Oryctolagus cuniculus: one gene and its partners. The protein of the gene in region 2 binds, or shares a complex with, the protein of the main gene of each other region. Links are inferred from orthologs where the notes say so. Each region holds a gene or a part of one and is shown on either strand. Other genes may lie near its edges.

What was found.
Region 1: the proteins of KPNA4 (region 2) and RANBP3 are in contact, whole or in part, in a crystal structure (PDB 5XZX), measured with the Homo sapiens proteins. The link is inferred for Oryctolagus cuniculus from reciprocal best matches to the Homo sapiens genes KPNA4 and RANBP3. Residues at the interface, in NP_002259.1 of Homo sapiens: Arg96, Leu99, Ser100, Asp102, Arg103, Pro105, Phe133, Trp137, Thr140, Asn141, Ala143, Ser144, Gly145, Thr146, Ser147, Thr150, Glu175, Gln176, Trp179, Gly182, Asn183, Gly186, Asp187, Asn219, Trp222, Val225, Asn226, Arg229, Asp261, Trp264; in NP_015561.1 of Homo sapiens: Asn114, Tyr115, Cys116, Pro117, Pro118, Val119, Lys120, Arg121, Glu122, Arg123, Thr124, Ser125, Leu127.
Region 3: the proteins of KPNA4 (region 2) and RELA are in contact, whole or in part, in a crystal structure (PDB 7LF4), measured with the Homo sapiens proteins. The link is inferred for Oryctolagus cuniculus from reciprocal best matches to the Homo sapiens genes KPNA4 and RELA. Residues at the interface, in NP_002259.1 of Homo sapiens: Lys231, Asp271, Arg306, Asn310, Val312, Thr313, Gly314, Thr315, Asp316, Thr319, Lys344, Glu345, Trp348, Ser351, Asn352, Ala355, Glu387, Trp390; in NP_068810.3 of Homo sapiens: Lys301, Arg302, Lys303, Arg304, Thr305, Tyr306, Glu307, Phe309.

Annotation. Positions count from the first base shown.
Region 1 is NC_091447.1:60,411,350-60,414,996, forward strand, and holds part of RANBP3 (ran-binding protein 3), read right to left. Parts: intron 3,491-3,647; coding exon 3,412-3,490; intron 2,318-3,411; coding exon 2,215-2,317; intron 1,871-2,214; coding exon 1,746-1,870; intron 661-1,745; coding exon 540-660; intron 1-539. UniProt on the Homo sapiens protein: Acts as a cofactor for XPO1/CRM1-mediated nuclear export, perhaps as export complex scaffolding protein. Bound to XPO1/CRM1, stabilizes the XPO1/CRM1-cargo interaction. In the absence of Ran-bound GTP prevents binding of XPO1/CRM1 to the nuclear pore complex.
Region 2 is NC_091435.1:120,225,734-120,229,380, reverse strand, and holds part of KPNA4 (importin subunit alpha-3), read right to left. Parts: intron 945-3,647; coding exon 813-944; intron 1-812. UniProt on the Homo sapiens protein: Functions in nuclear protein import as an adapter protein for nuclear receptor KPNB1. Binds specifically and directly to substrates containing either a simple or bipartite NLS motif.
Region 3 is NC_091432.1:6,042,496-6,045,083, reverse strand, and holds part of RELA (transcription factor p65), read right to left. Parts: intron 2,426-2,588; coding exon 2,321-2,425; intron 2,203-2,320; coding exon 1,990-2,202; intron 112-1,989; coding exon 31-111; intron 1-30. UniProt on the Homo sapiens protein: NF-kappa-B is a pleiotropic transcription factor present in almost all cell types and is the endpoint of a series of signal transduction events that are initiated by a vast array of stimuli related to many biological processes such as inflammation, immunity, differentiation, cell growth, tumorigenesis and apoptosis.

The DNA of each region.
Region 1 (3,647 bases), on a different chromosome or scaffold from region 2:
GCACAGGCCCCTCGCCTGTTTCCTCCTGCCGGGTGCCGCAAGGCTCGCTTTGCCAGGCTTCCCGCGGCTCCCACGGCCCCAGAAGCGTGCCCCACAGCGGTAACGAAGGCACCGGGACCGGCCTCAACGCCCGCACAGGGAGGAGGGTGCGTGCACCAGCTGCAGCGCAGTACTCGGGCAGAAGCTCTTGAAAAACAGCCCTCACTGTAAAGGAAAACCTTAGGGCACGAGGCCAGGCTCACGGCCAGCCAGCGTGAGACACACAGTGGGACGCACAGTTGCTCTCTGGCCTCAGTGAAAGGACCCCCCCCCCGCGCGAGCGAGGTCTCCTGTGAAGGGGCCGCCCTGGACCAGGGACTGCCGCCTCTTCCTTCCACCGCGGAGCTGCCACTCGTCTCAGCAAAGTGAGCTTCCAAGTTGACAGACTTCCCTCGGCACGGAGAGTCCTGGAAGGGCGGGGGCAGCACGCCTCCCCCAAGCCCCCCCAACCCTGCTGCCCACCTCCAGGAGGCGGGAGCAGCCCAGCCGCCGCAGCTCACCCAGTCGGGACTGGAGCGTCCCGTCATCAGCCGACGCCATGTCGTTGAGCCTGAGCAGTCCCCGGCCTCTCTCCACCCACGACTGCGAGGTCTTGTCGAAGACAAACAGCTTACACTGGATCTGCAACACACACGGGGGCCCTCGGGGTGAGCGGGGGCCCCGGTGGGGCCCTGCTGAGGAGGGGCCCGGCGTCTCTCCTCCTAAGCCACCTGCACCACCAGGGGCAGCCCCTTGCTCTGGGCTGGTATCTCTATCCTGCCATGGTAAACGACAGCCACGAAAGAGACACAAAGTACAATCACAGCAAAACCACATCACAGCCACCGGACACTGAGGGAGGAAGGGCTGGGGGCCACGGGGCGCAGCAGGGGGACAGGGAGTCACCGCCCGGCTCAGAAAGCCCACCCCACAGACACGAAAAGCACTTCCGCAGAAGAGGCAGACGCCACGGGCACAGCCACAGCATTCGAAACAGCAGACAGCACACACGAGGCAGGCACCGGCTGCTGAGGGCAAAGCGGCAGTGGTCCGTCCGCGTGGCAGACCCCGGAGGACGTCTCGGGGGAGACGGTGCGGGGCTCCACTGGAGGAACGTCACAGTAGGGCCAGGCACCGACAGGAGGGTTTGTGGTGAGCAGGGGCTGAGGAGTGACTGCTACGGGGACCGGTGGGGCTTCTGGGTGACGAGAATGTGCCGAGGGCCACACAATCCGTGAGCACAGTGGGACCCACTGCACTGGGGCGGATGGGGCGGATGGGGCGGATGGGGCGGAAGGCGTGCACGGCGGGCCAAGTCTCTGCTTCTGAGCTGACTTCCTGCTGGGTGTACCCTGCGGGGCAGAGGGGATGGGCCCCTGCACCCACGTGGGAGACCAGGCCTGGCCCAGCCCTGGCCGTGTGGGCATTTGGGGAGTAACCAGTGGGTGGGAGCTCTCTGTCACACACACACACACACACACGAATTTCCAGAATACAACCTTCCACAGAAATGGATACTTTAAAACACAGACATGTGCATGCAGAGGGGAGATGGGGGCGGGCGGCAGGACCCTTCCCGGGGACAGCTGTGAATGCTGGGGCAAGCGGAAGTGCTGGTCCTGTTCCTATGGCAGTGTTATCCCCGCCCTGCCTCGAGCAGGCCTCAGAACACAGCTCCCGTCCCGGGCCACGGCCGGGGGCCAGGGGCCGGCCCGCGCAGCCCTCACCTGTAGCACGTTGCTCTCCGCCTCCTCCCCGGTGATGACTTCCACTTTTTCCAACAAACACTTGCGCGCCGTGGCCTTGGTGTAGGCCGCCGCTGACTCGGCCAGGGACTCTGAAACGTTACCGACTAAACAAGAGCCACTCCTTATTCGTGAGGGCAGGCCACGCAGGGGCCAGGAGGCTGGCTCTGGCCTGGAGGACGCCGGACGAGCTGTCTGGACAGGCCCCCACACCCCCGCCACCCAGCCGGAGCCTCTGCAGGGCGGCGCTGTGTCTCCAGGTCCCCGCTGGGAGAGGACAGCGGGAGACTCTCCCGAGGGACAGGCAGGAGGAGGGTGCTGGCTGCTGCACAGCCCTCCCTGGCACTGAAGGGACAGCTCCTGTCTGTGCTGAGCCCCAGAGCCCTGTGCCCCGGTCACACATCAGCCCACACCAACCCGACCCCCGTGGGCAGCCAGGGCCCCCACGCACCTTTCTCGGGGGTGGCCTCCTGGGACGAGGGCTCGGACCCAGAGTCGGCAGCAGCGTGCTCCCTGCTGGCCTCGGAGCTGCCCTCGCTGAGTTTTGGGGGACTCTGCGGGGAAGCAAAGCAGGCGGGGGAGGGCATGCTGTGTGCTACTGGTGCCAACGCCTGGCCCCGGCCCGCGGCAGCGGCCCTCAGCAGCCGTCCGCCTGGTCCCTGTGCCTCACGAGCCCCATCCCTACAGGGCTCCTCCACGTTCCAGGGGAGCACGCCGCAGTGCGCTTGGAGCCCCAAACACGCCCCCTCCTGGCTCTGCTGGGCCTTGTCATCTGGAGCCACCTGTGTGGCGGCCTGCGTGAGGCAACTCCCTGAACACGTCCTCGTGACAGAAAGAGGAGAACGAGCGGAGCTGGTGGTGTGGTGCAGCGGGTTAAGTGCGGGTTCGAGTCCCGGCTGCTCCACTTCTGATCCAGCTCCTTGTAATGGCCTGGGAAAGCAGTGGGAGACGGCCCAGGTGATGGGCCCTGCACCCACGTGGGAGGCCTGGAGGAAGCTCCTCGCTCCTGGCTTTGGCCTGTTCAGCCCTGGTCCTTTCAATCTTTTGGGAAGTGAACCAGAGGATGGAAAATGTCTCTCTCTCTCTGTAACTCTTTCAAACAAACAAAAACCTCAGAGAAAATAAAAAAAAGGAGAGAGCGCGCTGCTGTGGGAGAGAAGCAGGAGGCGCACGCGCTCCACGTGAACCCAGACGACGACGGGAACACTCGGAGGGCCAGGGACGCAGCCTCGGCGCAATCCCATGTGCACTGCGGGGCTGTGCGCTCGCCCGGGGAAGGGACAGGGACACAGGGAGCAGGCCGCACCCAGAACCCTCTCCTGGGTTGGGTGGGCTGTGGGCCGGCAGTCGTCGCTGGTGCTGGCAGCTGCGTTCCTAGACTTGGGCAGGGAGCACCCAGGTCCTGTCCCCTGGACTCCGGTGGCCCAGCAGCACACGGCCGAGGACGAGCACCTCGGCTGGCCTCTCGGGAGGATGCAGAACCCTGACCACCAGCCCGGCTCAGCAACACAGCGCTGCCCTACCTTTAGGCTGAATCTCCAACAACCGACAGCACCGTCACCTCCCAGGGGCGTGGTGGCCGCCCCGCGCACCCCTCAACCTGGGCCTGCGGCTAAAAGCCTCCCGGCCTCCAAGTGCGGCCACTCACCAAGACACGTTCGCTCATGTTCTGGCCAAACACAAATTTGTTGCTGGAGCAGTCGGCACTGTTGGTCGAGTTCTCTACACTGAAAAGAAGACGTGCAGTGAGCGTGGGGCCAGGCACACGTGCACGGATGCACGGAGCACACGCGTGCACACACGAGCAGTCAGACACAAAGACCCTTCGCCTGTCCTACGGACGGGAAAGGCACATTCCACCAGCTCCGCGGCTGGCTGCTGCCC
Region 2 (3,647 bases):
GTTGTTCTCGTTATCCAGCCAAGGCTAAGTGATGACTTAGGTTAAGTTTTTCTTATGCTATTACTATACTTTACAGACTCTAAGTCATTGCCACATAAAACATTCTATTTACCTCAGAAAATTAGAGAACATGCTGCATATCCCTTTACCATTGCAGTTTGACAGTTATTACTTCTATTTGTGTGAACTTCTCATCCTCTCTTTTGACACTACATATAGGTTCTTTCAGATAAATACTGTGTAAGAGGATTTAAGAACAATTGAATAAAATAAAAAAACAAGCTTAAAAAAGTTTAAGATGGTGAAAACAATTTAGGGAGCTAAGTAGCATTTATCTGCACAAAACCTTTTTGCACAAAGTCTTTATAAGTGCCAGTGAAGCTAAGAGCGAACCAAACTTTCCAGATCAGTAAAAAGGGACAGGGCGGAATGGGGGGTGGGGGGAATTGGACTGTGGAAGAGGAAGAAAAATAAGAAAAGGAGTAGGAATTCTAAGTATCAACACCTGTTTGATTGCACTCAAGCTGCTAAACTGAATTGCCTATAATACAAATCTGTATTCTACAAAGGAGTCTCTTCCTAAATATGTATTTTTCAGAGAGGGTGGGGAAAGGTAGGTTCAAGCTGTAGTATCCTTACCTCATTTTTTTCCACCTTTAAAATGGGAATAAAATAATTTACTCTTACCATCACAGACATGCTGTCATGCTAAGAATATCCTTTAAACTATTGAAATTGTTTGGCTCTGAATGTCATGTTTACAGCAATTATTATTAGAAAAACTTAAAATTTTTTATCACGAACAAACTTACCTGAACTTTAACTTCCTGATGGCTGAGCAGAGGAACCAAATGAGGAACTATTCCAGAGTCTATTACCATCTGTATCTGTTCATTGCCAGCATCAGTAAGGTAAGAGAGGGCCCACACTGTATCTACCAAAATCTAATGAGTAAAATGAGAATTCAAAGAGCATTTGAATATTTTCTCATTTTAGTAATTCTTAACCATACAATTAATCTAAGATTGTTCTACCACTTGTTTTCTTCTCTCACATGACGCCTTCAAAGAAACACACCAACACTTCAAAAATACAATGTGAAAATGAAGAGACTGAAGAAATGCTGGAAATGGAATTTAAATTATAGATTATAGGATTACTCAGAAGTAATCAGAAGCAAATCCACGAATTAAAGTAATATATACATGACACAAATAAAAAAATTTTCCCATGAAATTGAGAATTTAAAGAGAAATGAAAATGAAATATTGGAAATGATGAATTCAATAGATCAAATAAAAAATGTGGTGGAAAGCCTTAACAACAGACTCGGTAAGGCAGCAGAAAGAATATCCAAGTTAGAAGACAAATCTCTGGAGATTTTAGACCAAAAAAAAAAAAGAAGAAATAAGAAAATTAAAAAACAGTGTTGGAGATTCATGGAATACTATCAAACCACAAAACATACAGGACACAGGAGTTCCTGAAGGTGAGGAAAGAGAACGGATTACAAGGCCTTTTTAGTGAAATAATTACAGAAAAACTTCCCAAATTTGGAGAAAGGGGCCTCCAAGTACAAGAAGCACATAGAACTCCTAATAGATATGACCAGAAAAGATCCTCACCATGACACATTGTACTCAAACTCTCCACAGTAAAAAAATGAACACGAGAGAAACTCCAGATTACTTTCAGAGGATCTCCAATTATACTCACAGCCGACTTCTCATCAGAAACCCTGCAGGCTAGGAGAGAATGGTGAGATATATTCCAAGTCTAAAGAGAAAAAAAAACTGTCAACCCAGAATACTGTACCCTGGCAAAGCTCTCATTTAGGAATGAAGGTGAAATAAAAGACCTTCTATAACAAACAGAAATTCAAAGAATTTGTCACCACTCATCTAGCCTTACAAGAGATGCTTAAGATGTGCTACACACAGAAACACAGTCATCACTATGAAAGAAAATCTCCCAGCACGAGAACAAAGGAAATAAAAAGTAAGCAATAGGAATATTTATGGAAAACATCAGGGCCAATAGGCACCTTGAATGTAAATGGCCTCAATCTCCAGATAAAAGATACAGACTGGCTGAATAGATTAAAAAATAAAACTCATCTACTTGTTGTCTACAAGAAACATATCTCACCAACAAAGATAAATGCAGGCTGAAAGTGAAAGCATAGACGATATTCTACGTTAACAGAAACCAAAAAAGAGCTCGTATAGCCATCCTGGTATCAGACAAAACAGTTTTTAACACAAAAACTGTCAAAAGAGACAAAGAGGGCACTATGCAATGATTAAGGGTTCAACTCAACAGGAAGATGTGACAATAAATGTATACAAATCTAATTACAGGGCACCTGGCTATTTAAAAGAAATGTTAAGGATCTAAAGGGAGAAAAAAAAAAAACTCCAATACAATAGTAATGGGGGACTTCAATACCCCACTTTAAAAATGGAAAGATCATTCAGACAGAAAATCAGCAAGGAAATAGTTAATCAAAACTATAGACCACGTGGATCTAACAGATATTTTCAGAACTTTTCATCCTACAGTTGCAGAATACACATTCTTCTCACCAGTGCACGGAACTTTCTCTAGGATGGACCACATGATAAGCCATAAAGCAAGTCTTAGCAAATTCAAAATCATACTATGCCATCTTCTCTGACCACAATGGAATGAAGTTGGAAATCAAGAACTTAAGAATCTCTAGATCACATGCAAATTGAAAAACATGCTCCTGAATGAACAGTGGGTCATAGAAAAAAATCCAAAGAGAAATCAAAAAACTGTTGAGTAACAGTTTTTTTTTTAATACTATTTGTTGAACATTTTACTTAGTACAGAGTTAATCTTCTGTGTATAAAGTTAAATGAAAATAGATTTTAGTAAAAAATAAGAATGGGAATAGGAGAGGGAGTAGGAAGAAGGGTGGAAGGGCAGGTACGAAGGGAAGAATATCTATGTTCCTAAAGTTGTATTTATGAAATGCATGAAGTTATATACCTTAAATAAAAGGTTTCTGGGGGAAAAAATCACGATTTAAATCAAACTAGATTTCATATATTCTTTTGTGACAAAGTTTGTATTCTGTAAGTTTACCAATTACAACTAAATGTAATGTTGGTGCTTTAGTTATGGCTTGTAGAAGCAGTTAACTAGTTTTATCTTTAGTTCTTTGATGGCTTGACTTAAGAACACACTGCTAAATGTCTACCCAAGATGACTCTAATAAACATCACTATTTAGTAAATAATATTATTAATTAAATATGTAACTAAAAACAACAATATAGACTGGCTTGAGAAATTCAAGGCACATAAAAAATAAAGATAAATGTAATCAGAATCTCACCTAGATTGAGGTAAAGAAACATAATGCATCTCTGAATAAAGTAAATGAAGATGTCTGGTTTTTTAGTGGTAGTATAACTTTGAGATTAATCTTTTTTTATGAATATTTTAAAAGAAAAATGTTGAAATTTATACTTCAGTCAAGGAACGTGGCTTTCAGGAACCAAAAACAAAAAATGCTTATATAAATATTTAAGATCTATCTGATTCAATCAGACTATCTGGCGCTTAAAAAACATCTTTAGAGCAAAGAGCATGTTTAATAAATTTTGTACATTATATCAC
Region 3 (2,588 bases), on a different chromosome or scaffold from region 2:
CCCCAGCTGCCCCTCCGCCCGCCGCCTCACCGCTGAAAGGGCTCTTCTTCATGATGCTCTTGAAGGTCTCGTAGGTCCTCTTGCGTTTCTCCTCGATGCGGTGCCGGTCGTCTGGGAGAACGAGAAGTGGGTCCCCTCCCCTGGGTGGGGGAGGGGCCAGGCCTCCCGGAGACCCGCCCCCCAGGCCCCCCAGCAGGAGCCTCCCTCAAGAGCCCATGCGGCCCCCTGAAGCCACGGGCAGCTCTCCTTCCCACTCGGCTGCTGCCCGGCCCGGCCCCGCCTCCGCCCTGCCCGAGAACCGCTGTGGCCCTCCCTGCTTCTTCCGCAGCTCTCGGGTCTCTGATCCCACAGACCGGCCGGAGCCAGCCTCATCTTCCTCAAAGCCTGGATCCCGGTGCCGGAAGATCACTCGCTCTCTGCCTTTCTAAATGTGTTTTTTTTTTTTTTTTTTTGACAGGCAGAGTGGACAGTGAGAGAGACAGAGAGAAAGGTCTTCCTTTGCCATTGGTTCACCCTCCAATGGCCGCCGCGGCCGGCGCACCACACGGATCCGATGGCAGGAGCCAGGTGCTTCTCCTGGTCTCCCATGGGGTGCAGGGCCCAAGCACCTGGGCCATCCTCCACTGCACTCCCTGGCCACAGCAGAGAGCTGGCCTGGAAGAGGGGCAACCAGGACAGAATCCGGCGCCCCGACCGGGACTAGAACCCGGTGTGCCGGCGCCGCAGGCGGAGGATTAGCCTAGTGAGCCATGGTGCCGGCCATCGCTCTCTGCCTTTCAAGTAAATGAAGGCAAAGCAGGTGCCCCACAGCCCGCGCCTCCTGCGCGCCCACTGCACTGCAGCTGAAGCCGGGACCCAGCCTCGCTCCCACTCCCCGCCCCCGCGGTGCCCTCCGGGCACCCGAGCCGTCTGTGCCAGGCCCCTCTGGCCCAGGGCCTGAGTGAGCACACGGGGGCCTGAGTGAGCACACGGGGGCCTGAGTGAGCACACGGGGCCTGAGTGAGCACACGGGGGCCTGAGTGAGCACACCGGGGCCTGCTTGCCAAGAGGTGACACAGCGACGGGAACGCAGACAGACCCCAAGCTTCCGGCCCGGAACGCCGAGGGTCAAGGAAGCGTGGCCACCGCCCCGGAAGCTGGGTGGGGGGTCTGATTTAGGGGACCTGGCAAAGCGCGCCGAGCGGACCGGCAGGTGCCGCGGCCTGGCCTAGCCGTTCCTCCCGCAAGGGGCTGAGCCTCTCCCTGGACTCCGGCACCTTCTTCCAAAGGCCACCCCGCCCGAGTCTCCCCTTCACCCCTGCACGTGGCTCCCCACTGCCATACGACAGAAGCCCGGACAAAGGCCTGCAGCCTAGCGAGACCCTCCCGCCTGGGCCTGCTCCCTGCCTGCCAGCGGCTCCCACTACACAGCTGCCCGCCAGGCTGTGCACCTGCCCTCGCCCTGCCTGCAGACGGCACAGCTGCGCCCCTCTCCACGGTGAACGCCACCTCGCGCCCGCTGGAGGGCTCCAGCTGCCACCTCCGCCTCGCGTGTCGCCCTGTGACGCCAGGACCTCGTCCACATGTGTCTTCCTCACGTGACAGGGCAGGGCACGCGGCGCACTCATCTCTGTCCACACAGGGGGCTCAGGCCCCGGGCTCAGGCGGCACCGGAGACCAGAGCACACGGCGGCCGGGTAGCACGGTGCCGGCTGCCGCTGGCCGGCCCTGCAGCTGCGGCCGGCGCGATGCTGCCTCCTCCCCAGGAGCTCTGCCAGACGAGGATGAGGGCAGTGCTGCGATGCGTGCCGGCTGCTCCTCGGGCTCAGGGAGACTTGGGGACTCTGACTCCTGTCACGCGGCCCCTCGCAGCAGGACGTCAGCTGACGCAGCCGCGCCCTCACCACGCACACGCCGTCCAGCCCCGAGACTGCTCTACGCAGACCCCGAGCTCGGCCCCTAGGTTTTCCGGCCTCGCTGGACGGGCCTGCTCCCACCGCAGCTGTGTACCTGTGTCGGGCAGGTACTGGAACTCCATGGGCTCGCTGAGCTCGCGGTCCGAGGGCCTCCGCAGCTGCATGGAGACGCGCACGGGCGCCTGCAGGCCGGGGTCCGCGTAGGGCGGGGTCCGGAACACGATGGCCACTTGTCGGTGCACGTCCGCTTGTGAAAAGGAGCCTCGGGCCTCCCAGCCCGGTCCCGTGAAGTACACCTCGATGTCCTCTGCGAGACGGGGGAGGGGTGGGGGTCAGCTGTCCGGGGCCCAGCGCACCGCGGTCCACTGGCTGCAGCCCTGCCCCTCCCCGCCCGGCGAGGCCGGCCCTGCCTGCCTCCTGTGTACCTTTCTGCACCTTGTCGCACAGCAGGAAGATCTCGTCCCCGCCCAGGCAGCTCCCCGAGTTGCGGTTCACCCGGCAGATCTTGAGCTCGGCAGTGTTGGGGGCGCCTGAGGTGTGAGGGTGAGGAAGGCGGCCCTGAGCCACTCCTGGGGCGGCCCACGGGAGACGCGCGGCCTGCCCAGCCCAGGGCCCAGGCTGCCCCGCGCCTGCGCAGCCCACGCCACACCGCCTCCCCGGCCCCACACCCCGGCGGGCTCGGCGCTATCCCTG